Rattus norvegicus: one gene and its partners. The protein of the gene in region 7 interacts with the protein of the main gene of each other region in a pairwise test. Links are inferred from orthologs where the notes say so. Each region holds a gene or a part of one and is shown on either strand. Other genes may lie near its edges. The genes, in order: Aen, Med18, mrpl11, Mad2l1bp, Snrpb2, Lnx1 and Homez.

Region 1 (4,156 bases), on a different chromosome or scaffold from region 7:
ATCCCACCAACAATGGAGGAGTGTTCCTCTTTCTCCACATCCTCGCCAGCATCTGCTGTCACCTGAGTTTTTGATCTTAGCCCGATTATACAAATTTTAAGGGCAGTTTGATACTGTCAGTTTAGCAAAACAGTAGTAGATTTGATTCTGGGGTCTATGAGCTCCTCTAGCTTTTCCTTTTTAAATTTATTTAAAAAAAAACCTATTTTGTGTGTGAGTGAGTGTGTGTGTGTGTGTGTGTGTGTGTGTGTGTGTGTAGGTGTAGGGACTGGGGTGGGTGTGGGTGGGTGAGTATGCATGCCCGTGCATGTTAGAGGACAACTTCAGGGAGTTTCTTGTTGTTTGGGGTATCTCGTTTCTGCCTACCCTAGCTAGCCAGAGAGCTTCGGTTAATTTTTCTGTCTCCATTACCATCTCACTGTAGCACTGTAGGAGTACTCTGTCTCTTCCCCTCCCCCTCTTCCTCTCCCTTCCTTTCTTCTCTGCGTAGCTTTGGCTGTCTTGGAACTTGCTCTGTAGACCAGGCTGGTCTGGAACTCAGAGATCCACCTGCCTCTGCCTCCTGAGTGCTGGGATTAAAGGTGTGCACTTTAATCAGCTTTCTAAGAAGGTCCAGGGATCAAATTCAGGTCATCGGGTTTACCGAGCAAGCACCTTTTTACTTCCGAGGCAACTCTCCCATCCCCCTTTTAAAAACTTTTCATAGGGAAATGAGTATATGAATAAAATATGCAAAGGAATACTTAATATGGGTGTGGTGGCAAAATGCTGTAATACCAGTATTTAGGATGTCAGAGGCAAGAGGATCAGAAGTTCATTCACAACTATACAGAAAATACGAACTTGATACTGGAAAAAAGAAGGAAAATGAGACAGCCTGGGCTACAGGAGATCATGTCTCGAAAAACAAAACAAAAAATAAAAAAACACAAATTAAATAAATATTGAAAAAGCAATGCAGAAAAAGCAAACCTGATTTTTTTTTTCAAGTTTAAAGAATACTGTATTATTTCACCCGGTTCTCAGAACTCCGAGACTGGAGAGGCTGCAGTTCACCCTAGGCAGATTTGGGTGTGCACCTTGTGACTTTAAGTCTTTGAAGTTTGACGTTCACTAGGCGTCAGGTCAGAAACCAGACGTTCCATTCAGTTTTTTACTAACCTCCTAAACATTGCCCTCTCCCGGCGCAGACCACGCGCTCCTCCTACGGTAGCCCCACCCCTTCTGACTGGCACGCCTACTCCAGGAGGAGCAGGATCAGCCAATCCGAGGAGGCCTTAGGCGGGCCCTACGGCCCAGCGAACCAATAGACAGGCAGCCGAAGCCGGGCATGTCCGGGCAAGCAACTACTGCTGCCGTCAAGGCTTCCACGTGAAAGCCGCAAAGTGCGGCCCGGTCTTCAGGTGAGCTAGGGGACCGCCACAGGGAGCCCCGGGCTGCGGGTTCCTGTCGCCAGCCTCACGTGGCTCTCGGGACCGGGTGGTGTGCAGCCAGGCCGGAACGCGGCCTCACGCGGTCTTTCCCAACTTGGAGCCGGTGGGCATCAGGGGACCGCGTGGACATTGAGCGTCCACTGCACGCCTCAGCTGTGAGGATTGCGGCCTGCCCTCATACTTAAAAAACAAACAAACAAACAAAAAACTGGTCAGGTAAGCTTTTGGGTAGCATTGGGGACCTTATTGCGCCAGCCTTTCTCAAACTGGGGTCTTCACAATCGTGACTTGAGGGTGGGGTCTCGGGTCCTGTCCCAAAACTTTGCCTTCTACCTAGGGCGGTTGATGGTTAAGGGACAGTGACTTTCTGATGTCATCAGGTTATTTCGTGCCAGAACAGTGTCTAGACGGGCCCACTGACGGAGGTCGGGTCTACCAGCATGGCAGGTGGGACCCTTATGCCAGTGACGATTCTGGCCTTGCAGTTTTTTGGGAACCTTCTCATCTGGAGTCCTCTTGGGTCAGGGACCTTCACATGAAGGCCAAGTGCCTTCCATACTGGCCAGAGAGAGTTATGATGTGGAATATCTGTACGTGGCTTTGCTAAAAGAGCTGTGTCCTCTGAATACTTCTCTCCAGCTAAACTGAGTGAGTGTCATTCAGGGCTTTGGGCTGTGGAAGTGCGTTCCCGTGATAATTGTTAGTTCTGGCACGTCCACAGGTTCAGGGACTATAGGAAATGACTGCCTTTATCTTTTCAAACAAATGCAAAAATACGGAGACCTCTACTCCGGGGAACCTAATTTTAGCTTCTTTCAAACCTTGCCAGCAGGGGGTAGGAGAGTCCATCCTCCTGCCCCCAACCGGAAGTCCGTGATCAGCAGGGCTAGCACAGGTCTTCTAGGCCAGGTTTTCTCCCTTTGCTGGACTAAGGCAAATTGAGTTTCTGAATTTTTGTCAGTTCTGAGATGTGGTTTGTGGAAATGAGGAAGTTGCTGACAACCTCTTAAAAGACAGGGTACTATTCAGAGAGCAGATGAGCAAGCCGAGAGCAGTTGTGTCAGCATGGGTCACTGAGCCTCCCCCTGGCTAAGTGGACCATTACTCCTAGTGCACATGCTGGCATCAGCAAACACAGACTGTTCTTTCCTCCCCGCTGCTACTGCTACTCCACCCTGTGTCTTAGGGTTCTACTGCTGTGAGCAGACACCACGACCAAGGCAGCTCTTATCAGGACAACATTTAATTAATTGGGGCTGGCTTACAGGTTCAGAGGTTTAGTCCATTATCATCAACATGGGAACATGGCAGCATCCAGGCAGGTGTGCGACTGGAGTTGCTGAGAACTCTACACCTTCATCTGAAGGCAGACAGAAGGCTGTCTTCCAGGCAGCTAGGATGAAAGTCTTAAGGCCCACGCCCACAGTGACACACTTCCTCCAATGAGGCCACACCTCCTGGTAGTGCCACTTCCTGGGCCAAGCATATGCAAATGTCACATCTTGGGCTCCTAGTCTGACCTCATCCTCTGATGAGGTAACCACGATGTCCCCTGGAGTCCTCCAGTGACTCAGTACACCCCCTGCTCCCTAGGTGTTTACAGGCTGCACCAAGTTCTTTGCCTACTCTCCCTGGCTCTTAGGTCTGTGCTTGTCAGGTTTCTCTTTTCTGAATACTCTTCCCACCCTGGGCTTCCCGGCTCTCCTTAACTCAAGGTCTCTTCCCGGTGACTGCCCAGGTTCTCAAGTTCCCTTCCTGTTGATCCGTGGTTTGGAGGACTTCGAGCTCTGTAGTACCCTCCAGGCCTGCCACTGGGAGGCCCAGCTTGGGCTTCTGAAGCCATGAGAGAGGGACAGCAAACACAGTGGGGGCTCTGCAGCTTGCTGACTTGAGGGGACTCTGAGGAAAGCTGCCTGTTGTCTGAGGAGGGCAAAATCCAATGTACTGCAGTATGCAGGATGACCTTCTTTATTCTCCTCATAGACAGTTAATAGCCTGGATCAGTGCTGCTTGGTCCACATTTTACTGGCCCACCTTGGTGCCTTGGGCCTCCCTCACTTCACCAGCAGACACTAGGCTGAAGACACCAGTATGGGTAAGGGTGGCTTGTGGAAGGACCGCTCAAGTCAATGGCAGAAGGTGAGGTGGTAACCCACCAGACAGTTATAACTGGTGACTTCAAGTTGCTGCTGGCCCCTCTGCCCCAGCATGAGACTAGTCAGGCCTTTGTCCCTGGTGTTTCCATTGCCCACTCCCTCTTCCCTGTAGGGTTACTGCTCCCCATTTACTCGGAAGTGACTTCTGGGATCATCTGCAGCTCTTTGCCTTCTTTTCCTCCTTGTATGGCTAGCCGGCTCTCAGCGCACTGTCTGCCGCATTTCTGTGTCTGGTCCAACCAAGCTTCCCGGCCCGGGATCCATCTTTGTAACTGTCCAGCACCTGGCACAGTTGGGACCCCAGGGAACCTCTTTGTAACGTTGGGGAGATCCAGGGGTTTCAGAACAGCATTCCGTGATACAGAACTGTGTCTGAAGGCGTTGGAGGGGTGTGGTTTGGGAACAGCAGTGAGTCCACGTGGAGGTGCTCTGGCCCAAGGGTAGCTGGCGTCTGGCGTAGGAAAGAGTAAGCTTTGCTGAGGAAAAGGCAGAAGGGTGTGTGTGTGTGTGTGTTTGTAAGGGAGGGAGAAGTAGACAGACTTGGGCACAAGAGTTTATAAAGACCCA
Region 2 (4,049 bases), on a different chromosome or scaffold from region 7:
GAGGCCCATACGGAAATGAATGAAAAGCGAAATAACAAGGCTAGATCTCAGAGACAGTCCAGTCAGCATGCACAGTACATGTATGCAGTTAGACTCAGGACGGAAGGGCAGAAGGTCCCAACTGTCCATGGCCATCCAGCCAGTTAGAGGGATGTTAGAGCCAGTCAGTCCAGGGGTCGGGGAGGTGGCTCAGTAGCTAAGAGCACTGGACCTGGGCTCAGTTTCCACCAGCACCCAAACCGTGGCTCACAATCACCCACAATTCCTTTCCAGGGAACTGGACACACTTGTCTGACCTCTGACTCACAAAGACTCATACAAATTTAAAATCCTAGGGCTGGAGAGATGGCTCAGCGGTTAAGGGTGCTGACTGCTCTTCCAGAGGTCCTGAGTTCAAATCCCAGCAACCGCATGGTGGCTCACAACCATCTGTAATGGGATCCGATGTGTCTGAAGACAGCGACAGTGTATACATAAAATAAATAAATCTTAAAAAAAAAAAGATTTAAAATCCTAAAAGAAAAATCTTAATTATATTTGAAAAAAAAAAAATAAGTTGGCCTGGGCTACGTGATACTCCTGTTTCCAAACAACAAAAACAACCTAAATCGTGTCATAGGTTATCAAGGACATAATGCTATGAGAAATAAGTCAGTCACAAAACCAGGGACCTCACTCATGTGGGGCATCTAAGTTGCCAAGGAAGGAAATACAGTGGAAAGGTAACTGTTAAGAGCTAGGAGAGGAGCTGGAGAGATGGCTCAGTGGTTAAAAGCACTGACTGCCCTTCCAGAGGTCCTGAGTTCAAATCCCAGTAACCACATGGTGGCTCACAACCATCTGTAATGGGATCCGATGCCCTCTTCTGGTGTGTCTGAAGACAGCTACAGTGTGCTTATATACATAAAATAAATAAATAAATCTTAAAAAAAATAAAAGAGCAGAAAAAAAAAAGAAAAAAATAAATAAAAGAGCTGGGAGAGAGGGAGACTCAGTATGAGTTTTAATTTTTTTTTTAATTTTATTATTTCTTTTTTAAATTTCACGTGTGGAAGTGTTTTGTCTTCCAGTTTATCTGTAAACCACCTGTGTGCCTGAATCCATGGAGACCAGAATAGGGCATCACATCAACTCCTCTGCAGCTGGAGTTACACACAGTTGTGAGCTGCCGTGAGGGTGCTGGGAATTGAACCAAGGACTTCTGTAAGGGTCTCTCCTCGCCCTGAGTTTTACTTTTTCAAGATGAAAGAGAATAAATGAAAGCCAGGTGCTGGTGGCCCACACCTGTGATGCCAGCACCTGGGAGACAGAGCAGGTGGACCTCGTAGTTCTGAGTTCCAGGCCAGCCTGGTCTACAGAGCAAGTTCTACTACAGTGAGGGTTACACGAAGAAAACCCTGCTTAGAGAAACAAAGTGAGAGTGTGTGTGTGTGTGTGTGTGTGTGTGTGTGAGAGAGAGAGAGAGAGAGAGAGAGAGAGAGAGAGAAAGAAGAGGAGAGAAGGGAGGTGGGAGGTGGGAGGGGAGGGGAGGGGAGAGGAAGGGGGAGGGAGGGAATGAATGAGAGAGAGTAAACAAGTGTAGCACACCTGTGATCACAGGCACTTGAGGCCTGACTGGTCTACAGAATGAGTTTCTGGCCACTGAGCCATCTTCCCACCCAACCTCTTCTAAACGCAATTACTGGGTGACAGGAACCGTGCAGTTGCCTTTATGTAAGTCATCTTGACTTGCTTTAACAAGAAAAGGAACGAAAACTTGGTAATGCATGCTCCGTGGCTGACTTACCCTGCAGGAGGTACTCCATCATGTTAATGGTGCCCCCAGTGACTGGCATCATGGTGACTGGAGGTGCCTCCATGATGCCTCTAATTAGGTTCAAGACGACAGAACTGCAAACAGATCTTCCAACCGGGGAAGCACGGGATACACCTGGAAGAGTCACATTTGTCCATCCACTGTTTTCTGTGGCACTGGCCTTGAAACCAAAGCTCATTCATTCATAACTTTGAATATCTGCTTATACAGCCGGTTCCAAGAACGGGTGACGCAGAAACAAGAGAGGTCTGGCCCTGGTGATCCAGAATGACCATCTAGTCTCAAGTTCTGAACCTTCTAAAAGTTTTTCTATGTCACCTTGAGGCAGCTATGCAACCTCTTGCTCCTTTAAAATAACCCCGGGGCATATAACCACACAGACCCTCCCCCACCCCCATGCGGCTCAAATGAAAGAACCGACATACATATTCAAAAAAGGTGACGTCACTTTGGTCTACGCTGAGAGGCCTCCTTTCCAAACATAAAGAAATAAAAGCCGGTCGTGTTAGGGGAACATCTGTAATCTCAACACTCGGGGACAGAGTTAGGAAGACAACTGCGGCTTCGGGCTAGACTGGTCTATATAGCAAATCCCGGCTAACTAGGGCATCACAGTGAGACTGTCTCAAAAAAACCAAAAGACCTAAGAACCTTGTCTACCCTTCGTTCTATGCAGAGGCCATGGAGACTCAGTGAGAGCACACGCCGGGATCAGACTAGAACTGGTTCTGCCTTTTTGAAAACGCCTTTACAAACGAGCCAGGCGGGAAACATGAAGTTAAAGTGACTGCACCGGTCCTCCCACTCGGGGATCCGGGACACGTGTGCACTTACACTAGCAACACGTCTCCGTTCGCGCTACAGATCCATGCAAAGCTGGACTTAAATCCACGCGTGCACACCCGCAATCCGCACCCCCAAATCCCTCCTGCACAGATCCAGAGAAACCGCCAAACATTCCCTTCAGCACTTCCGGTAGGAAGCTGACGGACAGGAAACTTCTTCGCTACCGCCCCGAAAAGTAAGGGTGCCGAGAGGGCAAGGAAGGCGCCCGCCTTCTGGCACCGGTGTGCAAGAGCGCACGCGCAGAGTGCGGGTCCGCTGCGGTGTTGGGGTCCTAGTCTAGAGTGGTACACTGGAAGGTTACTGTAGGCCTTTACGTCATAGGACAGCTCTAGGAAACGGTTTTTGATTTTTTTGTTTGTTTTTTTTTCAGCTTCGGCGACCTGGATGTTTTGATCAGATCTCTTGAAACTGATTGGATACAATATTTAAATTTTGAACTCAGCCACTGGGGGGAGCGAGGAGGGAAAGAGTCGCAGTGAAAAAGATCAGAAGGGCAGGGGGGTGGGGTGGGGGCTGGCAGTGAGCGGGATGTAAAGTAAGTTAAAAATTAAATTAAATTTAAAAAAAGAAGGGAAGTATGTTTCAAATCGGAAACGCTAAGCACAGCGTTGTGTATTTATAGACCCCAGCAGGAACAATATTTTCTTGTGTGCTTTCAAGGGTCTGGAGAAACAGCTCAGTGCTAGAGCCTTGCCTGGTATGTGCAAGGCCATAAGTTTAATACAGAACAACAGCAAACTCGTTCGATTTTCCATGCATACCCACAACTTTAAATACGTGGGACCAGGCACAGTCCGAATCTGAGAACCTCAGGAGGCTGCGGTAAGGATCTCTCCAGCAGAGCCATTCAACACTTAAACAATATTTTGAGGGTTTTTTTCCAAAAATTAATTAATTAGGGCTAGAGAGATGGCTGAGCAGTTAAGAGCCCTTGCTGCTCTTGCAGAGGTCCCCAATCCCTACATGGTGGCTAACAATCATTTATAATTCCCCTTCCAGGAGATCTGTTACCTCTTCTGACCACATCACTCACTGCATCCCTGTGGTACACATACATACACCCTTGCAAAACACTCGTAACACAAAATATAAAATAACTAGGGGGCCGGGGAGATGGCTCAGCAGTTAAGAGCACTTGCTGTTCCTCAGAGGACTTGGGTTCAGTCCCTAACACCCATATCAGGTGTCTCACAACTACCTGTAACTCTAGTTCCATGGGAACCGACACCCTCATGTGGCATCCATGGGCATCTATACAGGACATATACGGTGTACATACATTTAGGCACACATATACATTAGATAGATAGGTAGTAGGTAGATAGATAGATCGATACATAGATAGAAGGTTGATTGATAGATTGATTGGTAGATAATTAGATAGAAG
Region 3 (4,052 bases), on a different chromosome or scaffold from region 7:
GAAACTATAAATCGGGTTGCCATGGAGTCCTTTGGCTCAGCTTCCTCGGTGGGCCCCCTTCTCAGTCTCTCACTTCAGAGTGTAGAAGGTTGGGGTCACTTTTTGGCAGCTTCTGCCTGAGCTGCCAAATCCGCCTCTTTCTGAGCAGCCAAAAACACGGCCCGTTCCTTCTGAAAAGCTGCCAGTTCGTCTACACTGAGGCTACAGGAAGAGCGATGGTCAGTGAGGGGCGGAGCCTGGCGCAGACCCCAGCTGCCCTGCCCACGTCCCTCCCTGGACTTTCCAACTTTCTTACCTTTGCTCATCTGCAGTTTCTCTGCCTGGAACCACAACCCACATACACTACCATCCTCTACTGTGGCTCCTATTTTAAAGACCTACGGAACCTGTGGCCTCTACTATACCTTTAGGATTCCCAGCCCTTCCTCTGAGCCACAAACACTTCAAGTGAGAGAGTCACAGAGCTGCATACTTTAAGGCAGACTGTGCTCTAACCTCACCCCTGAGGTACAACTGATGCCAGCCTTGCTGTAGGGAAAGACACCAGCAGCAAGCAACCAGTGATGACTGACCCAGTTCCTGCCTCTGCTGTGCTCTGGGCCAAATGCTCTCCTACTTGACAAGTTACTTCAAGGAAACGATTCCTGAGATCATCCAAAGCCAGCTGACTTGTGTGGTTGTTGGCTCAAAAGACCCTTCTGTCTGGTCCCTCCCTCAGGCCATATCCCATCTGCCTCTCTAGACGAGACTCCTAAACCACAACGAACTTAGCTTCAACACCTTATCTCTCATTGTTCCCTGCAATTTTTCCACCTTTTGGAACATTTGCTCTCCTACCCTCCTTTTCCTGGGCTGTTTTGATGTTACCTCCCTCAGAGTCATCAATGACACAAGGGAAAAGCAGGAACTCTCCTCTCTGCTCTCATGACATCCACTGGTTTTATAACTGACCACCTGTTAGCCTAAGCCTCTATGTATGGATCTGTCTCTATTTAGGACTACATATTTCTCCAGAGTGGCCGAGCACCACTGTTCATTCCTGGTTCTGTGCGGTGTCCAGAGCCATGTCTACTACAGAAGAGATACTCATCCAAACGAGATGAGGCTCCATATCCTTCTGCTAGAGTCTGCTAGAAAGCTAGACATGTATGAAAATGTCACAACGAAGTTAATATGCTTAACTAATATATGCTATAAATTTAAAAAAAAAACCTGACTTTTTCATTGCAATAGGCTTTCTCCCAAATCAAGAACTTTCTTGGTTTCCTTTGTACACCATTCCTCTCAAGATACTCACTCTTTCACCACACGAATGCCCAGGGAGCGGGCAGAGCCAATGATGGAACGGACAATAGAAGACAGGGGTACATCTTGCATGGCAAAAGCCTCATCCTTAGCTTTGACACGGGCAATCTCGTATACGTGCTTCAAACTCACCAGACCTGCCACCTCTTTCCCTGGGAAGAAGGAACAGGTCGTCATTCTTCTAGTGCCACTATTTCTCTGGATACATCAGAATCTCAGGTGCCCCCTGTAGCCCTTACCTGTTTGCCGGGCCCCCTTCTCAATCCCAGCAGCTGCCTTCAAAAAGTAGGAAATAGTGGGCTGCCCAATCTTGAGCTCAAATGTTCTGTCGGGCTTAACAGAAAAAGATACATGAGAATTTCTTGGTTTTCTATCTGGTCCAAGACATTTCTAATGTCCCTTAACTTCCCATCAACTTGCATTCCTGCGGTGTTGTCTTTAACACCAGAGAAGGCAGGATGGGCAGATCTACAGTCCACATCCCTGTCATTTTTATTCCTAGCACAATTCTCCTCTGGAACCCCTGTGAGATGAGAGGTCAGAATCACAATATGGCAGGATCAAGCCAGTTCAGAGAAATTATGGTCTAGGCTTCTGTGTAAATGAGAAGTGGAAGTTGGCAACCAAGTTAGGGACAGAGAAGCAACCGGGATGACTAGTTTCAAGTGCCAAGGAAGTATATGGGAGAATTCGTCTCTGTACCTTTATAAAAATTTTTGTAGGCAAGGGAATGCCTTCTTTGATGTCCTTTGTTTTTTCATTGAACTCTTTGCAGAACTGGTTGATAGAGACACCTCGCTATGAGGAAAGCATATACAAAGTTAAGTGTGAGGGGTTGGGGATTTAGCTCAGTGGTAGAGCGCTTGCCTAGCCTAGCAAGCGCAAGGCCCTGGGTTCGGTCCTCAGCTCCGGAAACAAAACAACAAAACAACAAAACAAAACAAAACAAAACAAAACAAGACAAAAAAAAAAAAAAAAAAACAAAGTTAAGTGTGGGAGCTGAAGGCTTCCTATCAACCAGGAGCTCCAGTCCCCCCGTCCCCGCCATCTTCATTTTTTTTGTGTTCCGATATTTCTTCTACCCAGGTTCAACTACGGCTTTGGGTGCCAGGCGATTCGTCCACAAGGTGCCACTTAATCAGCAAGTAGCCAACTTGATGGTCAAAAGAGGCTACGTAAGTAATACAAGAACCTAAGGCCTGAAGGTGTGAATAGCGGAGACAGGTTTATAAAGGAGACCTCCCGGGCTCCAGAGCACTCTCCCACGTCTCCCAAGCCGGCTTCCAGACACCGCACCTGACCCAAAATGGGACCTAATGGAGGCCCAGGGATAGCTTGGCCTGCTCGCACGATGGACCGGATCACGCCGCCGGCCTCGGGCTTCTTGAGGGTCCGAGTGACCCGGCTTAGCTTCGACATGATATAGGATTTTAACCTTAGTCCGCCTCGGAGAAGTCAAGAACTACGATCTGAGCGCTGTCATTTTGGGTCAGAGGTCAAGGGCCCTCGTGTTGGGCTAGGGTAAATGTGGCCAAAAAAGAACAGTCTTGTTTCAGGCATACAGCTCTTCGACTGAAAAACGAGTTACGGAATTTAAAAATGAATTGAACTTTGCGCTCTGAAGTCAGGACAAGAACATATATGGTTTCAGTATACACATTCCTTCAGCAGTGCCCACAGGCATCGCCTTAGACAGCCAAACAGGAGATCAGGACTTTGAGTCTCCGCACAGCATTGTAGGTATTGTAGTATTGTAGTTTTAGCTCTTTATCCTGCGCTTGCTGTTGACTGAGCTCTGGGTTGCCATCTGCTGGACACAGTGATATCTTAGTGTTTGAAATGGAGCAAGTTATTCAAAGGAGTCCCTTGAGTCTTTTGTTTCGTGTGTGTGTGTGTGTGTGTGTGTGTGTGTGTGTGTGTGTGTGTGTGTGTGTGTGTGTGTGTGTGTGTGTGTGTGTGTGTGTGTGTGTGTGTGTGTGTGTGTGTGTGTGTGTGTGTTTTTCATGAAAGGCAATATGATTATAGACGGAAACGAAACGTAGACTGCTGCTCTAGCTATGAACCTGATTTATAGCTAGACAAAAAGTTAGGGCTAGGGTTAGGTTACTGTTTCTGTTAGCTATTTCATGTTGGGCACCACGGATACTATAGGTACCTTTCAGAATCATTGTGACAGCTCAGTAACACACGTTGCTTTAGAACAATACTTGCACCAAGAAGGCATTTACCACTATTTGTACAAAGGGAAGAAATTTTCCCGGCACTTTTGAAACGCAGTCTCTGAACCCTCATTCCAGTCAGACCTAATTTCCCACTAGCTTCTTAGGCATACTTTATCGCTTCCCTTTCTTTCCTTCTTTCTTTCCTTCTTTTTTTTTTAATTTTTTTTATTTATTCATTTATTATATATATAAGTACACTGTAGCTGTCTTCAGATACACCAGAAGAGGGCATCAGATCTCTTTACAGATGGTTGTGAGCCACCATGTGGTTGCTGGGAATTGAACTCATGACCTCTGGAAGAGCAGTCGGGTGCTCTTAACCGCTGAGCCATCTCTCCAGCCCCTCTTTCCTTCTTTCTTTCTTTCTTTCTTTCTTTCTCTCTCTCTTTCTTTTTATTGGAAGCAGATGATTTCATTACTTGCTTTCTAGGGAATGGCATTTGAATCAAGTGGTGTTTGTAGTCTTTGTTCTCACTCCCTTGTGTAGTTAGGCACTTTGGGACATGCATGCAGAAACATGTACAT
Region 4 (4,105 bases), on a different chromosome or scaffold from region 7:
TTCGGTCCTCACTCCAAAAAAAAAAAAAAAAGTCTGGAGAGATGGTTCAGTAAAAGCATTTGTTCTGCAAACACAAAGATCTGAGTTTAAATCCTCAAGACCCAGTCACATCCAGCACTGTGTGGCGGAGACATCCCGAGAGCTTGTGGGCCAGCCAGCCTAAGTGTTGAGCTTCTGATTCAGTGAGACCCTGTCTCAGGCAATGAGGTGGAAAACAGTACCTAGCACCATCACCACCCCTGCACCCACAAATGCACGCACCCATGAATGCACGCACCCACGAATGCACAAACCCACTCACTCAATTACACACAGTTACTAGTACCTGCTCCCTCCTAAAATACTGTGTACAGAAATTCAGTAAGGGAAGGAGGAAATAATACAGGATATAGGCCAGAAGGCAAGAAGCTTGAGAAGAGTCCACACTGCAGAACCCTAGGCAGTAGAGACACTGCAGAAGGCATAGGGGCAGTACTGAACACAAACCTGTGTGAGGAATTCTCAAGGGACAGTTTCTCTCTCTCTCTCTCTCTCTCTCTCTCTCTCTCTCTCTCCCTTGTTAAGACAGGGTCTCCCTGTGTACCTCAGCTGTCCTGGAACTGCCAGTGAAGACCAGGATGGTCTAGAACTCAGAGAGAGGTCTGTCTGCCTGCCTCTCTCTCGACTGCTGGGGTTAGAGCACCACACCTGGCCCTCGGTGAGTTCTCCAAGGAGATCTCCTTATGGTATAATTACCTTATAAGGCTCAGGCATCAGACAACAGTTTATTCTATTTACCAGATAGTAAAACATTCCAACATAAAACAACCAACCACGAAAGCCGAAAGACACAAAGGAAAAGGCTTGTAGGAGACACTTGGAGGAGCAAGAGGAAAGTGGGAAGGATCCTTAAAAAAAAAAAAAAAAATAGAATTTCATGGTCCTGAAGGGCATGATAGCTATAATCCCAGCCCCAGGGCTGAGGTGGGAGGAATACTGAAAATCACAAGCTAATCGGACCAGGAGATGGCTCATGCACGCGGGAGGCAGAGGCAGGTCGATCTGTCTCTGAGTTTGAGGCCAGCCTGGTTTATATAGAGTGAGCTCCAGGACAATGAAGGTAACACAAAAAAACCCTGTCTTAATAGAAGAAGGAGAGGAGAGCGAAAGGGAGGGGAGGGGGAGGGGAGGGGGAGAGGAGATGGGAGGGGGAGAGGAGATGGGAGGGGGAGAGGAGATGGGAGAGGAGATGGGAGGGGGAGGGGAGGGGGAGGGAAGGGGAGGGGAGGGGGAGAAGAGAAGAAGAAAGGAGAGGAGGAGGAGGAAGGAAAGAAAGAGAAGATGAAGAAAATCATTAGAATCTGAAACCTAGAAATTCTTCCAAAACACACTAAAACAAAACCAGAAAGAGAGGTAAAATGTGGTAAGAAAAAGAACTTCAAATGTAAAGAGCTGGTTCAGGTCTGGGGATGTAGCTCAGTAACATAGCATTGTAGCATGTGAGAGGCCTTGGAGAAGGGAGGGGAGAGGGAGAAGCTAGAGGGAAGGAGGTGGAGATATGGAGAGGGACAGGGAGAGGGAAAAAAGGAGGGAGGTTGGGAGAGAGGGAAAGAGAGACAAAAAGAGGCAGACGGAGACCATCTAGTCTAAGGAAAGGCCAGATGTGGTGAAGCACACTTGTGACCTCAGAAGTCACTGGGGAAGTTGAGGTAGCCAGGTTTCAGAGACCAGCCTAAACTACATAGTGAAATCCTATTCCCGATAAAAAATTAAAGAACAAATCCATAATATCCGTATACACCACATAATAGGAAGAATCTCAGAAAAAGAACAAGAGGGGTTGGGGATTTAGCTCAGTGGTAGAGCGCTTGCCTAGGAAGCGCAAGGCCCTGGGTTCGGTCCCCAGCTCCGGAAAAAAAAAAAAGAAAAAAGAAAAAGAACAAGCGAAAAAAGTGAGAGACCCAGAGACCCAAGTGCAGAGAAAATGAGGCAAGGAAGCCTTTGCAAAAGCCTAGACTTCCACGGAGGCTGAGACGTCTTAGGTCACTTTTCTAGTTGCCCACCATCTAAGGGCCCATAAGTCTTCCGAATTTTCTCAGGAAGCCTGTACATACCTGGGGAGAAGATTTCTGGTAGAAGTGCTTCAGCTGTTCATAGGGCAAAGGGAGCTGTTGGCGTTGGTACATGATATGCTTTAGAAGTTCACAAGTGAACTGGCAGCAGCCTTCCTGGCTCACGGGTCCAGGAAACACCACCGGTACCAGGTCTCTTGGGCAAAAGGGCTCCACAGAATTGGAAGGTTCCTGGACTGGCGGGATGACGGTCTCAAGATCTACCCCGGGTGCACGAGTTTCTTCCGGTTTCTCAGTCCAATCCAAATCTAGTCCATAAATGAAAAAGGTAAAGAAAGGAGGGGCGATGTCACAATAAGCGTTAGGTTTCTTGTTCCCAGGGGCTCAGTCAGCAGACACTCCCATAAGTGACAGGAAACCTGATCCGGGCTGGGGGCGATTTAAATGACATCAGGGCCAGAAGAGGGACTTTAGGGAGGCTTTGCTCCGAGTTGGGGCCAGGACACCCAAAGGAACAGAACAGAAGAAAAATTCCACCCAGGGCAACTCGCAGAGACAGGGAGGACTGGGACACCGGGAACCACTGGGATAGGAAGGAACGCCGGAGGAAATGTCAACCACTAAATGTCTCTGGGGAGGTAGCAGCAGGGAAGAAGCGAGCTCCCAAGTAATGGATCCCACGTCTTACTTGGGGCAGCAGCAGGGGACAGCTCCGACCGATCCTCCTGCCCGGATGCGGCCATCGTGACTGCCAGCTTAGTAGTCCTGCAGTTAAAATAGACGCCGCGCAAAGGATCATGGGAAGCTTAAACTCCACTTCCGGCTCCTAGCAGCCGGAAGGGACTCAGCACGGCCGCTGAATGGTGAAGCTTGGACTGAGAAGACTTGAGCCACACCCAGGCCAGGGAGCGCTTGGCTCATCCCTCTAGGGCTGGGTCTGCCTTTCTAAGGACGCATCCATTCACTCCAGTTCCCTGAACACCTCACTCTCCCGGCGTCTGCTTCATTCCAGGGCCCTGTCCTAGGTGCTGGAGACGCAGCCGCTGTCAAGCCACTCTCCAGCCCTGTTCTTAAGAGGTTCATGCCTGGCCTGGGGCACCTGATCCAAAGCGGGTAGGGCGGGGTTAGGTGCCCGAAAGGGTGGTTTCCGGAATGTATGTACTGTGACTGGGTAAAAAGGATAATCCTAGTGAGATCTTGAGAGATACACTCTCTTTTCAAAGACTCAAAGAAGTTTATACTGAGAATGCTAGGCTGACTCCGTGGGAGAATTCAAATAGGCAGTTCAGGAGAGTATGCCTAAGAACCGGGCAGGTTCAAGCAAGTCAATTACTAGGGGGAAAAAAAATCCCCGACTTAAGGCAGCTGGTCAAAATTGCCCTGCCATCAGAAGCTGCCCGGCCACCTAGTCAGCAGCAGTTTCCAGACTTCTTAGCAACAGGTTCCACACTTCCCCAGCAATAGTTTCCAGACCCCCAGACCCCAGCCCCAGCCCCAGCAATGGTTCAGGAATGTCCTTAGAGATAGAGCTGAGATTAAGTGAGCGAGATAGAGGTCACTTACCCCTCCCCGGAATTCCCCTAAGATGCTTTAAATCCACCTGTGAGCTCCCTTCGGGTCTTTCTATCTCGGTAATGGGAGACCCCAGCAGAAAAAAACCCACTTTGTGTTTACATACTATTTGAGGCCAGGGTATAATTCTTCGGCGAATCATGGACCCTTACAATACTATAAAGAGTTAAGGGGGCTGGGGATTTAGCTCAGTGGTAGAGCGCTTGCCTAGCAAGCACAAGGCCCTGGGTTCGGTCCCCAGCTCCGAAAAAAAAAAAAAGAAAAAAGAAAAAAAAAAGAGTTAAGGTTTTTAGATGGGCAGTGGTGGTGCACACCTTTAATCCCAGCACTCAGGAGGAGGCAGAGGCAGGCAGATTTCTGAGTTCGAGGCCTTCCTGAATCATTAAGGTGGGAGTAGATAAACAGAATCAAGGTCATGACAGGACTTCCTAAGTGATGAAGTTTCAACTTGATCTCATGTAGGGGGATGGGTAAACTTTTTC
Region 5 (3,500 bases), on a different chromosome or scaffold from region 7:
CATGTAAACAGCTAACACTGGTCTTAAATTTGCAGTAATCCTCCTGCCTCTGCCTCCACAATGCTGGAATTATACGCAGACAGTACCAACCCTGGGACCCTTGACTGAAAGTCATCCAGAATTGAGACTAGATATTAACCTTTAAGAAGGGAAAAAGTAAATGTCACACTGCAGGCAGCAATCCCATTTCTTGTTTTTCTAGACAACAGTAAGCAGTTATTATCACATGGCCACTAATACTGTACGGTCCACTGTGCCCTGGACACAGGAAGCAACTGTGCTGTGTACTCACAGCGGGGTGATCATTTTACTAACATGCTGCTCACTGGGTGCTGTAATCTGTTCCCTTCAACGTCTGTATCATTAGCTGCTCCAAAGTGACCTAAACCCCCACTCTGGGGGTTTACATACTTTCAAATGTGTAGGAAAATAAGTGCTTCATGGTAGGACAATAGACCAGTAAACAGAATACAAATAAAAGTTTATTGTACAAAATTAAGGCTTTGTATTTCATAGTTCACCAAAACTAAAAAAAAATTAGGTGACTCTTTTTCCAAAACTTCACCTTCACTTCCAACCATTTCAAACAACTTGACTGAATATAATTAAAACAAAAGCTATAAATAATACCAAGTCCTTTAAAACTGGCACTCCCCGTGTTACTTCTTGGCATAGGTAATCTTCATGGCATGGGATGGTGTGATCTTAAACCCTTGCAGAGCATCTCTGGCTGCTCCAGCCTGCCCATCATTTTCAAATTCTACAAACGCAATATCATGTCTCCCCGGGACCAGGCGAACTTCCTTGAAACCAGGGAACCTAGGAAAAACAAAAGCAATAAACACAGGCAAATGCATACGTAAACTTGTTGAGTAACTTCCCACTCTGGTCTAGGAAAAACAATCACATGCAACCAGGAATCCCAAGTAGGATAGAGGCATTTGACATAAAAGTTTACCATGGAGGGATTCCATGAGTACATGCTAATTCCACAAATTCTACTTCTGTCTTGTTAAAGGTTTGTTTCCCATTTTATCCATGAGAATAATTCCAACAGAGGACAGCTAGCTCTTTAGATTCTAAGCCTGAGACTGGCTTCAATCCATGACTAATCCCAGACTAAATCGATGACCCTGCAGAGAACGACTGTTGTGGAGTGACAAATGACCTCAATGTAGAGAAGTGCTAGTTGTCCTGTTAGGAGGCTCCTATGAACAGATGTTTGGTTTAAAACAACAACAACAACAACAATAACTTACTGGTTGAACAACATGGATAACATCATCTCATTCGTCTCTTCTGGTAAGTTATTAAGGAACAGGATATAGTTTGGAGGGTAATCAGGGACCTATTAAAACAAAAGACCAAGTTAACCTGGGAAAAATCTGTACTGCAAGGTATTTGGTTTAAGAAACATGAAAACCTCATCTGCAGAGAACGCCACTGAAGCTCACAATGAACACAACGAAATCTGAACACAACGGAAGAAAGCTGAGAACAATGACGGCTAGAAACTTAACAACAGTTGAGGCCAGCATGGAAGCCAGGACACCCCAAATCTGGAAGGTTATGATTCTGGGAAAACTATTTATAGATGAAACACCCGTGGGTCAGTCATGACTGGAGAATTCTGTCACCTGGAATAGAGAATTGAAAAACTAGGAAAGGCAGCCACATCAGGCTCTTTAGCTAGTCACTCTACTTAGCTCACACTACGGGGTGTGAGTCCTGGGCACCACTGATTACTATCAGAACAGGAGATAATTTACAACTAGTGTTACTACTGAGAACCACAACCTGCTGATATTTACTCTGTGTGTTGATGTGTATGTGTGTGTGAGTTAGTGAGTTCATGTGTACACACACACACACAGTAAATGGTATGAGTTGCATCTACTTATCTAAAACAAACAGAAACAAGCAGAATACTAGATACTAAGTCATGTCCTTGATACCCCAACCTGAAACTACAGGGAGTATATAAAGGATTTATACATAAGAAGATACCTTGGCTACTTGGTAGTATCATGGAGGGAAAGACCAAGTATAAAAAGCAATTAGTGAACAAGTAAAGACAGAGAATCAAGTGCTGGTATTTATGAACTGACTACAAGTTCTAAGAGTTCAAAGACTAGAAAGAAAGATCATAAGAAAAAGCACAGGATCAGGTATAGCGATAATATCTGTAATCCCAGCACTCAGGAAGTTAAGACAGGAGGACTGAGAGTTTTGAGAGTATATCAAGACTGTCTCAGTAGGGCTGAAGGGTGGTGGGCAGCTCAGTAGTACAGCACTTGTCTAGTCTAGGCCAGGGGTTCAATCTCCAGCAACAAAGGAGAGAAAAAAAATTAAAAGCATATAACTCTAATATTCTAACTTTCTTGGTGATACAGAGGTGTGGGTCATGTCAGAACAGGAAATATAAAAATGAGGCTGAATTGGGGAAGAGGAGGCAACCACCGCTGCCCAACGTGAATCTGAAAAAGACAGGGCAGTGCATCAGGACCTGGATGGAAACAGGCCTCACGAGTACTCTGTCATGTGCCTTCAATCACTCAGCTCTCACACTTTCTGCCTTGTCACCGAGTCATGGGAAACAAGTGGTCAGGCCAGGTTTTGTTTGCTTGTCTTAGGAAACTTACATGATTTGAAGAGCGAGTTTCTTAAAATGACAAGCAATTATGCCTTGCAAATGAATTACTTGTTTTTGAAGACTTGTACACTATTTTAAATAGCAGTAATTTTTATTATAAGGCAAACACTCTATGGAGGAAAACATTACCTGAGGATTTGGTGCTGCATTTCCTTGAGTATTAGCTGAATTTGGTGTTCCCTACAAAAAAGATATTGAGATTAAGAAATGGTTAAATTTCAGTCCTGCTAAAAAAGCAAGTGCTATTTATAACATAAATATAACATAAACAACATAAAAATAACTGTAAAGATCTTACTCCATTTCAGTTTAAGATCTTATGTCTTAAGTATTTAGTTTGTTAGTTATTCCTGAAATGTTATTCTTATCCCTCAACTCCACAGACCACATTATAAAACTTAACACTTGAATTTCTTTTTGAGACAGTCTCGCTATGTAGCTCAGCTGTCCTGGAATTCACTGTGTAGACCAGGCTACCTGCCCCTTCCTCCTGAGAACTGGGATTAAAGGTGTGCCAATACCACACCCTGCTTTCATGTTTAAACTGTCAATGATGCAGAGACCAAGTGTGCTGTGAGGGTTACATCTGAGGGCAGACTCCATCTAGGAGTCTCAAAAATAAAATAAAATAAAAAATAATGAAGGACAAAAGGAACAGTCTTGCTTTTTAAAAACAACATTATAACTGACATTATACAGAGTCAAATTGATCATTTTTAATCCAGAAGTAACTACTCTTGTTTTATACTGTTACTTTTACTAGAGATCACAAATGTTGCCCCTGTAATTGGTCAAAGAAGCTCTGAGTAGGACACTCATGATGAAGAGATTATGTACAATTTATAGG
Region 6 (4,212 bases), on a different chromosome or scaffold from region 7:
GATGCAATGATTCAAGGTCACTGACAGGTTCAACATATTCTACTTGGGGGCTGGAGAGATGGTTCAGTGGTTAAGAGCACTGACTGCTCTTCCAGAGGTCCTGAGTTCAAATCCCAGCAACCATATGGTAGCTCACAACCATCTGTAATGAGATCTGAAGCCCTTTTCTGCTGTGGGCTAATATATAATAAATAGATCAATCTTTAAAAAAATCTCTACTTAAATGTGTGGATCTTATCCAAAGGACCCACGAGCCTTCCCCCTCCACAGAATGGTACAGGTTGCAAATTATCTGTCACCTCTCACACTGGCTTGGCCAAGTGCTCATGGAGTCTGAGGTGGAAGATGTTTACCTACAAGATTAGAGGGGACCAAGTACCCAAGGCCACTCAGGGTAGTAGCATGATTAAAACAGTCTGGGCTCCCTGCCCTCCAAACAACGATGACCTCTCCTGACAGCCTTTAAGAACTCACACTTTGTGGATGTGTCAAGAGATCACAAGAAGGAAGAGAGACCACTCCAGAGTTTGCTTCACCAAGGGCCAAGGGGGCTGGCAGGCACACGCTGCCTGGCTCAGGGAATGACAGCCCGTTCATTCTCCTCCCTCTGGACTGTTGTGTTTCTCCAAACTGTTAGCAGTGGGGTTAATTACTGACAATTAATTACAGTAATAAGAGCCGGGTCCTGAACCATTGCAGCCACAGGAGAGCTACATGGGCTCACACAAGTCCTCTAAGCTCCCAGGAAATTTCTTCCAGCAGAGAGGAACTTGTCTTTTATTTGTCCCTGACTCCAAGCTCACCTATACTCAGAGAACCACATTATAGCACATGGTACTTATCTCTCGTCCTACTGAGAAAGGAATGGCGGTTCAGAGAAGTCCAGTAATTTGCTAAGGAAATACATATTGTTTCCTTTAGCACTTTGTATACACCCAAATTAGTGGAGATGTCACAGCAACTTCTCAAGGACACATGCACGTTATCCAACGAGCTGCCTCGACCCCTATGCTAGACACTGGGACTCTGGTTTCTGTCCCCTTTTTTCTCTTTCTTGAATTGGGGGGGGGATTTTATATATATACATATATAATATATATTATATATAATATTTTTCTAAGCAGTTAGAGACAATGACAAAATAGTTTGTTATTTAATCATAGGTCCATTGTTGTAAAAATGACTAATTAACCAGGTATAAAAGAGGGGTGTGTGTGAAAGTTTGCAGAGGTTTGGAACATCAAGGACAAATTTACACCTACAAAACTCCAGGCTATGAGGAATCTTTTTCTCACTTTGCTCACAAACCTCTGAATCAACCGAGAATGTTACTAAGGCATCAACAACAGTTACTCTGCAAACACAGGAGCTTAGAGGACAATATAAGGCACAAAGGTCAACTAGAGAAGAGACTATGAGCTTCCCAAGAATCAGAAAGAAACTGGCAACAAGCAGGAGGCAGATGCTTACCAGGAAGAAAGAAGCAGCCGTTCAAGGGCGATACTTTTTAGTTGTTTCCGTTCATACACTCTTGGACAGTTGGCAGGTTCTTTTAACTTCTAGAGGGCTGTATATGGGCTTAACTCCTAGTAGATGATTTCCTTACAAAGCCATCTGCTAACTTAACTAATGCAACTAACGAAGGCCTATGAAATGAAAAGACTCGTTCATTTATTTCTCTCCCCGAGTTTCCCAGATAAGTTGATAAGGAGATGGACTGGGGATTTATTCCTCTGCTCTTGTTAATCATATTAGCTGGTGGGGGTGCCTGCCCATTGAGAACAGGTTACACGATCAGGATTAGAAAAACGAATATGGGTCCTTGAGGTACAATTACTTTTATAGTCAGGTCCTGGCAGAACAGTCTCCTCCATATATTTACTATATTAAGAGCAAGGTAGAAACAACAGAAGAGTTTCAAACCCAGACCTGGGGCTACATTCTTGTGGCCTTGAAGGGTAATCTTTACTTTAACCAAAGGTCAGCAGGCAGCCTGTCGGGCCTGAAAGTAGGTAAACAGAGTTCTAATCCAGACTGCTAAATGTTTTCCACAAGTAAAGGAAACTGAAGGCTTTTGAGAGAGAGAGAGAGAGAGAGAGAGAGAGAGAGAGAGAGAGAGAGAGAACTTATAAACAGGGAGCCAGAATTTATCAGCTTTAGTACTGACTTTCTGTTGTAAACAACAACAAAACCTAGGGAAGTATTACAGCTTTTCAGATGAGATGAATGCAGAAGGCAAGAAAAAAAAAAGACAATCTGAATTTTGTGAGTGTCCCCAGCACCCCCACCCCCACCACACACACACACACACACACACAAAACAGGCTGGACTGGTCTGCACATTTGAACTAACTTTCAAAGAGCATCTCATCTCACTTTTCTCTGGGGTTTTAAAAAGAATCAAATCAACTTCACAACAAGCAGAGGCTGGATTAGTAATCAGGAAACAAAAATGATTAAATATCTGGCCGAGACAACACTGCTGGTCACAAATAAGACTGTTACAGACATCTTTACTCTCAGAGTGTTACTCTGGACTGAGCCATTCAGTGAGCTCGCTCTCTCTCTCTCTCTCTCTCTCTCTCTCTCTTTCTTTTTCTTTTTTCTTTTGTAATTTTCATTCAGATTCCTCATTTAGATCCCTTCTGGGTCAGGGGTCTAAAAACCAAGAGAGGAAAAAATAGTTCCTGCTCACCTGTTCAAAGATGTCTGGGGCTTTCAAAGCAGCAGTCACCAGCCCGCCTCCATCCCTGTGCCAGAAGCTTCTAGGGCTGCCTGAGCTGTGACTGGTCTCAACTTCGGTGTACAGGTGGCTGGAGGAAGAAGGAGGGCATTGGTTGGCTCAGAACAGGAAATCTGTGACATCACGGAAGTCTGGCTGAGACTTTAGGGACTAAAACAGCCCAGGAGGCCCCGCCCCCTGTCAATTACCTGAATACCTTGGAGCAGGTAGGTGGCGTCTCTCAGAGGACAAATGAATCAGTTAGAGCAATTTGCTGGTCGGAATTTACTTTCCTTCCTGAGCAGAGCACGTGTCTAGCCCCGTGTACAGATCTGAATGGGTATGCCTGACTGTTTCCCAGGCCCTTTTCGTCTGCCTGATATTCTTTCCGAGGGCTCTCACAGGCCCACACAGCTGCCAACACCAGAATTAAAAGGGAAGTTTAAACACAGGGATTTTTGTAGGTGCAAAAAAAGAAAAAGGTTGAGAAGACTTAGCTATATCTGGGATTTACCCCCCTAATGCCTTTCTGAATCGCATCCCTTTGAGTTCCTAGTGTTTTTTTTTTTCTGTTCCAATATTATAACAAAACTGGAGGTGACATGACAAGCCTTAAAAATCTAAGTTCGATGCCTGTCAGCATCATTTCCCAAACTCCCTCGCAGTCCCCAGTGTATTATATTAATAATAGATTTGGCCATTGGTAAAACTTCAGTCATTCCTACCTCTCGGTCTGTCTGTCACCTGGTGGTTACAGTCCACAGTAGGCCTGCAATTAGGGGTACTTTAAATGATTCAGGTTAGAATGATAGCGCCTTACTAAGGCGCTGTTGTCTGCTGTGAGAGCTAGGGAAGAGGAGTCAGAGTTATTTTGGTCCCAAGCTTGGTGTGTGACCCTGGATAAGTCACGCTTGCTTCAGCTTTTCCAGCAGGAAAGAGAGGCTAATGGCAGGACTCAGCTGGCACTTGAGTGACAGCTAAGAGGATTCCTGCCTGCTGGTTAAGGCCTATGGCATCTTGTCCCATCAGCCTGTTGAATTGCTGTGCGCCTGTGGCCCGCAGCCAGCCTCCCTCGCAGACTTATTCACTCTCCGGAATGTGCTACCTGAGGACACTGGGGAGTTCTCTCTCCTAGGTTGGTCCAGCCACACTTTTGTCCCTTAAGGAAGAAAACACCTGCTGAAAAACACCTTCCCCCTTCTGATCTCAAAACTGTAAGCTTTACCTGTTCTAATACCTTGCCACTTAGCAGTGGTTTGTGAGCTGGACCGGGGTGGGGGGTGGGGGTGGGGCAGTTGAAGAAAGAAATAGAAAAAAACACCTCATCCCTGAGTGTCCACATTGGTAGCTGGCTCCCTGTCGGTCACTCAGTACCTTGTAAAGCAAATGGGGAGGGAAGAAGAAGGAAGATGAATCTAGTGCAGGAGGCAACTTCCAAACACTGGCTCGCCCCAGGCAGGCCTAAGCAGCCTCTCCATCTGGGACCGAGC
Region 7 (4,221 bases):
AACTAATTACATGAAAAGAAAAAAAAATAGGGGTTGGGGATTTAGCTCAGTGGTAGAGCGCTTGGCTGGAGAGATGGCTCAGCGGTTAAGAGCACTGTCTGCTCTTCCAGAGGTCCTGAGTTCAATTCCCAGCAACCACATGGTGGCTCACAACCATCAGTAATCATGTCTGGTGCCCTGATTCTGGCCTGTAGTTGCATACATGCAGGCAGAACGCTGTATGATGTATACATAATAAATAAATGTTTAAAAAAAAAAGGTGGGGCTGGAGAGATGGCTCAGCGGTTAAGAGCACTGACTGCTCTTCCAGAGGTCCTGAGTTCAAATCCCAGTAACCACATGGTGGCTCACAACCACCTGTAATGAGATTGGATGCCCTTTTCTGGTATGTCTGAAGACAGCTACAGTGTACTTATATATAATAAATAAATAAATCTTTAAAAAAAAAAAAAGGTACAAGATGCTTCCTTTCCGCCATTTTGTTCTGCCATCCCTAGTCTAATACCTTACACCAAATATGAAAGAAATGGTCCATTTTTCCGAGTTTGGAAAAAATGCTGTCTGTCTTTTAAGACACATTCTCAATAGTAGCCAAGGTTCATTCACCTGCTAGGCTAACCTTGCCTCCAGGCAATTCTTCTCCATTGGCCTCCTGAGGGCTAGAATTACCAGTGTGAGCTATTATGCTTGGTCTGAAATTTTTTTTTTTTTTTCCAGAGCTGGGGACTGAACCCAGGGCCTTGCGATTGCTAGGCAAGTGCTCTACCACTGAGCTAAATCCCCAACCCCCTGAAATTTTTTTATAACATAATCACTGTAACAGGCCCCAGACCTTGCCACAACTGACTCCATGATGGAAATACCATTTAGGCTGTAAGACTCAGCACGGAGATAGCCTCCTGCTAAACAAAAACAAAGGCCCAATCCATCGAAGCTGATGAGAGTTCTGGGAAAGTCTCAAGATATACTAACCTTGCTTGTTAGCTTGTTAGTTCCACTTCTGTTGTTAACTGAAGACATGGTTTTTGTGCTTAAAAGCTCACTCTGAGAAAGGATCAGAGCTCTATTGGGACCCTGAGTACCCAGTATTGTCACCAGCTGACTCATAGACTTCCTATTGGCTAAAACCCGTGTCCGGGCAGTCTTCTCTGGTGGATACTCCACAAGTCACAATGTGTAATTCTTTTAAAATTACCATAACCTGAAAATTAACAGTATGCTAGAAAACTGAAATCCTTTCTTGTTTGTTTTTCCATACAGGGTTTTTCTGTTACCTTAGCTGTGCTGGAACTCACTGAAGAGCAGGCTGGCCTCTAACTGAAAGATCCAACTACCTCTGCCTCCCCCGTGCTGGATTAGAGACGTGTGCCACCATGGTTCAGAACCTTATTCTTTGCAGTAAGTATTAGTTACCTGTTCTATGAAAAGGCTGTCAGTGCAGCAGGGTGGGTACAGCGCGATGGGTGCAGGCGCCTGCTGCCTGGCCTGCTGACCTAGGTTTCATTCTAGGGGAACCACACCCTGGAAGAGGGACGCCATCCCAAAAAGTTGCCCTCTGTCTCTATGTGTGGGTCTTGAACACACACAAATAAGCCAGGTATGGTGGTGCATACCCTTAATCCCATCGCTCAGGAGGCAGAGGTAAGTGGATCTCTGTGAGTTTGAAGACAGCCTGGTCTACATAGTGAGTTCCAGGACAGCTGGGGCTATATAGTAAGACCTCCCATCAAACAAACAACAAAAACAAAAAAGTTCAATCTGATTTTTTTTGGTATCCAAACACATGGAAAAAAAATTGTTTGCCAGGTAGGTAATTTTTCATCAGCTTTTTTTTTTTTTTGGTAGCGTGCATGTATGTGGGGGTTCACGAGTGTTTTAGATTGATGCCAAATCTTCCTTGATAGCTCTCCACCTCAGCTCTCTCTTTTTTTTTTTTTTTTGGTTCTTTTTTTTCCGGAGTTGGGGACCGAACCCAAGGCCTTGCGCTTCCTAGGCAAGCGCTCTACCACTGACCCCCTTTCATCAGCTTTTTAAAAACTGTAACTGATTTGCATTTCCCCAGTCCTTAAACGTTCACTTTATGCCCAATCTTGTATTTAAAATTTGTATTTTCGGGCTGCAGAGATGGCTCAGTGGTTAGGAGCACTGACTGCTCTACCAAAGTTCTTGAGTTCAAATCCCAGCAACCACATGGTGGCTCACAACCATCTGTAATGAGATCTGACGCCCTCTTCTGGTGTGTCTGAAGACAGCTACAGTGTACTTACAGATAATAAGTAAATAAGTAAACAAATAAATAAATCTTAAAAAATAAAATTTGTATTTTCTTCTTAAAAGTTGTATACTTTAGGATACAGAAGTTTTACTCGACTGTGTAACCAAATGACCATGTTCGGTTTCGTCCAGTGTTTGGTGTCTCCTCTCCTAAGAAATGCCAGAGGTCAGGGGAGCTCTAAGGCTGAATGGTCACCAGTGCAGGTGTTGGGAATCTGGGATGGATTTGAAACAGGAAAAGCTACATTAAAGCTCTCTGTGAAAGAAAGAGTTCAGGGGTTGGGGATTTAGCTCAGTGGTAGAGCGCTTGCCTAGGAAGCGCAAGGCCCTGGGTTCGATCCCCAGCTCCGAAAAAAAAGAACCAAAAAAAAAAAAAAAAAAAAAAGAAAGAGTTCAGATCAACCCACCATCAAACTAAGATGTCCAAGTTGGGAAAGAGGCTAGGGCCACGGAAGCCCTGCCCAGCCTCCACCTACCTCTCTCTGGGTGTCTAGTCCTCATGCTGACTCTTCCTTCACATATGTACTTCGCTTTCAAAACGTACTGAGTGGGTGCTGTGCAATGACATCACAGCTCGACTATTATGACGTAATGAGGAGGCCAGTGACTGTGCTCCAACCAGTGTCGGTGTTCTGAGTCTCATGATGGAAGAAAGCAGGCCACTCAAGGATGTGGTAAGGCCTTGCTGGCCCCAGGGAGAGCCAGCCACTGCAGACTGAATCTTGAACAACTGTACAAAGGCGTATTTACTGATTGTTACAGAGAAGTTAGTGTTTGGGTGAAACTGGTTCCTCATAACAAAGCCCCTGACCTGACCTATGTTTAGGGAAGGAGACATCACACCTCTGTGACTTCATGTTTATTGTACGCTGTCTCCAGTACCCAATAAAGCACAGCACTCCAGGTGTGCCTGGAGCTGTGACCAAAGTCATGGAAATGCCATGAAGCTCCTTCAGTAATACAACTCTATCAATCACAGGAAACAACCGCCATTTTCCACAATAATTCCTTCCAGGTCTACGTCCTTCTAGAAAAGAACTATTCATTCTATTATTTATCAGAGATACAATGAAAACCATTCCATGCTAATGTTTACCCTAGACAATGGTTTTACTTAGAATTACACTACAAACTAGGGCTTCCCTATCAGGTCTGCTGTTCTCATTACCCTGTGGCTGATTCCATTAGTAGATGAAGCATCCCGACCTAAGAGGAAATTAGCTTCTCCCAAGCTGGTCCCTTTAACCACACAGCTCGTGCTGGGTGCCAGGCAGCTAGAGCTTGGCCCTCCAGACTTTCCCACTGTCCAAAATGGTAAAAGGATCTGATTGGAGTGTCTTGGGTCAGGGTTGCCAAACCCTCTGTACCTCTTTCTCACCCAACGTTTACATGATCCAAGACTCCATTAGGGTTGGGAGGACAGCTCAGCGGGTAAAGGTACTATGTTACATAGCGTCATAAAGACATCACCTTGACACTGGCTAAAGTCATCTGAGAGGACGTAACCTCAATTAAGAAAATGCCTCCATGTCAGGTGTACACCTTTGATCCTGGCACTTGGGAGGCAGAGGCAGGTGGATCTCTAAGTTGGAAGCTAGCCTGGTCTACAGAGTGAGTTCCAGGATAGCCAGGATTACACAGAGAAACCCCTTCTCAAAAAACAAAACAAATAGAAAGAAGGAAATAAATAGAGTGAAGGAAAGAAAGAGGGAGGAAAAGAGGAAAGAAAATGCTTCCAAAAGTACAAGCCTATAAGGCATTTTCTTAATTAGTGATCGATGGAGGGGACCCAGCCCATGCAGATGGTGCCATCCCTGGACTGGTGGTCCTGGTGTTGCAGGATTTCTGATCACACTGTGAATCCCAACATTGTGTTGTTTACTGGGGAAAAAAAAATCTGTTTCTAGTTGTGGTGTGGTTCAGCCCTAGTCCATGCCTTTAACCCAA

Evidence for each region.
Region 1: the proteins of Homez (region 7) and Aen interact in binary tests that used the Homo sapiens proteins (3 or more experiments, as listed by UniProt). The two-hybrid records come from large-scale screens. The link is inferred for Rattus norvegicus from reciprocal best matches to the Homo sapiens genes HOMEZ and AEN.
Region 2: the proteins of Homez (region 7) and Med18 interact in binary tests that used the Homo sapiens proteins (3 or more experiments, as listed by UniProt). The two-hybrid records come from large-scale screens. The link is inferred for Rattus norvegicus from reciprocal best matches to the Homo sapiens genes HOMEZ and MED18.
Region 3: the proteins of Homez (region 7) and mrpl11 interact in binary tests that used the Homo sapiens proteins (3 or more experiments, as listed by UniProt). The two-hybrid records come from large-scale screens. The link is inferred for Rattus norvegicus from reciprocal best matches to the Homo sapiens genes HOMEZ and MRPL11.
Region 4: the proteins of Homez (region 7) and Mad2l1bp interact in binary tests that used the Homo sapiens proteins (3 or more experiments, as listed by UniProt). The two-hybrid records come from large-scale screens. The link is inferred for Rattus norvegicus from reciprocal best matches to the Homo sapiens genes HOMEZ and MAD2L1BP.
Region 5: the proteins of Homez (region 7) and Snrpb2 interact in binary tests that used the Homo sapiens proteins (3 or more experiments, as listed by UniProt). The two-hybrid records come from large-scale screens. The link is inferred for Rattus norvegicus from reciprocal best matches to the Homo sapiens genes HOMEZ and SNRPB2.
Region 6: the proteins of Homez (region 7) and Lnx1 interact in binary tests that used the Homo sapiens proteins (3 or more experiments, as listed by UniProt). The link is inferred for Rattus norvegicus from reciprocal best matches to the Homo sapiens genes HOMEZ and LNX1.

Annotation. Positions count from the first base shown.
Region 1 is NC_086019.1:142,223,177-142,227,332, forward strand, and holds the start of Aen (apoptosis-enhancing nuclease), read left to right. Parts: upstream 1-1,356; 5' UTR 1,357-1,649; intron 1,650-4,156. UniProt on the Homo sapiens protein: Exonuclease with activity against single- and double-stranded DNA and RNA. Mediates p53-induced apoptosis.
Region 2 is NC_086023.1:149,949,873-149,953,921, forward strand, and holds the start of Med18 (mediator of RNA polymerase II transcription subunit 18), read right to left. Parts: upstream 2,801-4,049; 5' UTR 2,651-2,800; intron 1,931-2,650; 5' UTR 1,860-1,930; coding exon 1,787-1,859; intron 1-1,786. UniProt on the Homo sapiens protein: Component of the Mediator complex, a coactivator involved in the regulated transcription of nearly all RNA polymerase II-dependent genes.
Region 3 is NC_086019.1:211,692,555-211,696,606, reverse strand, and holds the start of mrpl11 (large ribosomal subunit protein uL11m), read right to left. Parts: upstream 2,801-4,052; 5' UTR 2,725-2,800; coding exon 2,602-2,724; intron 2,104-2,601; coding exon 2,008-2,103; intron 1,639-2,007; coding exon 1,545-1,638; intron 1,458-1,544; coding exon 1,298-1,457; intron 202-1,297; coding exon 96-201; 3' UTR 1-95.
Region 4 is NC_086027.1:22,328,394-22,332,498, reverse strand, and holds the start of Mad2l1bp (MAD2L1-binding protein), read right to left. Parts: upstream 2,801-4,105; 5' UTR 2,795-2,800; coding exon 2,740-2,794; intron 2,360-2,739; coding exon 2,094-2,359; intron 1-2,093. UniProt on the Homo sapiens protein: May function to silence the spindle checkpoint and allow mitosis to proceed through anaphase by binding MAD2L1 after it has become dissociated from the MAD2L1-CDC20 complex.
Region 5 is NC_086021.1:150,859,334-150,862,833, reverse strand, and holds the end of Snrpb2 (U2 small nuclear ribonucleoprotein B''), read right to left. Parts: intron 2,834-3,500; coding exon 2,783-2,833; intron 1,349-2,782; coding exon 1,260-1,348; intron 820-1,259; coding exon 660-819; 3' UTR 472-659; downstream 1-471. UniProt on the Homo sapiens protein: Involved in pre-mRNA splicing as component of the spliceosome. Associated with sn-RNP U2, where it contributes to the binding of stem loop IV of U2 snRNA.
Region 6 is NC_086032.1:33,867,159-33,871,370, reverse strand, and holds the start of Lnx1 (E3 ubiquitin-protein ligase LNX), read right to left. Parts: upstream 2,801-4,212; 5' UTR 2,696-2,800; intron 1-2,695.
Region 7 is NC_086033.1:32,306,675-32,310,895, forward strand, and holds the start of Homez (homeobox and leucine zipper protein Homez), read right to left. Parts: upstream 2,801-4,221; 5' UTR 2,776-2,800; coding exon 2,751-2,775; intron 1-2,750. UniProt on the Homo sapiens protein: May function as a transcriptional regulator.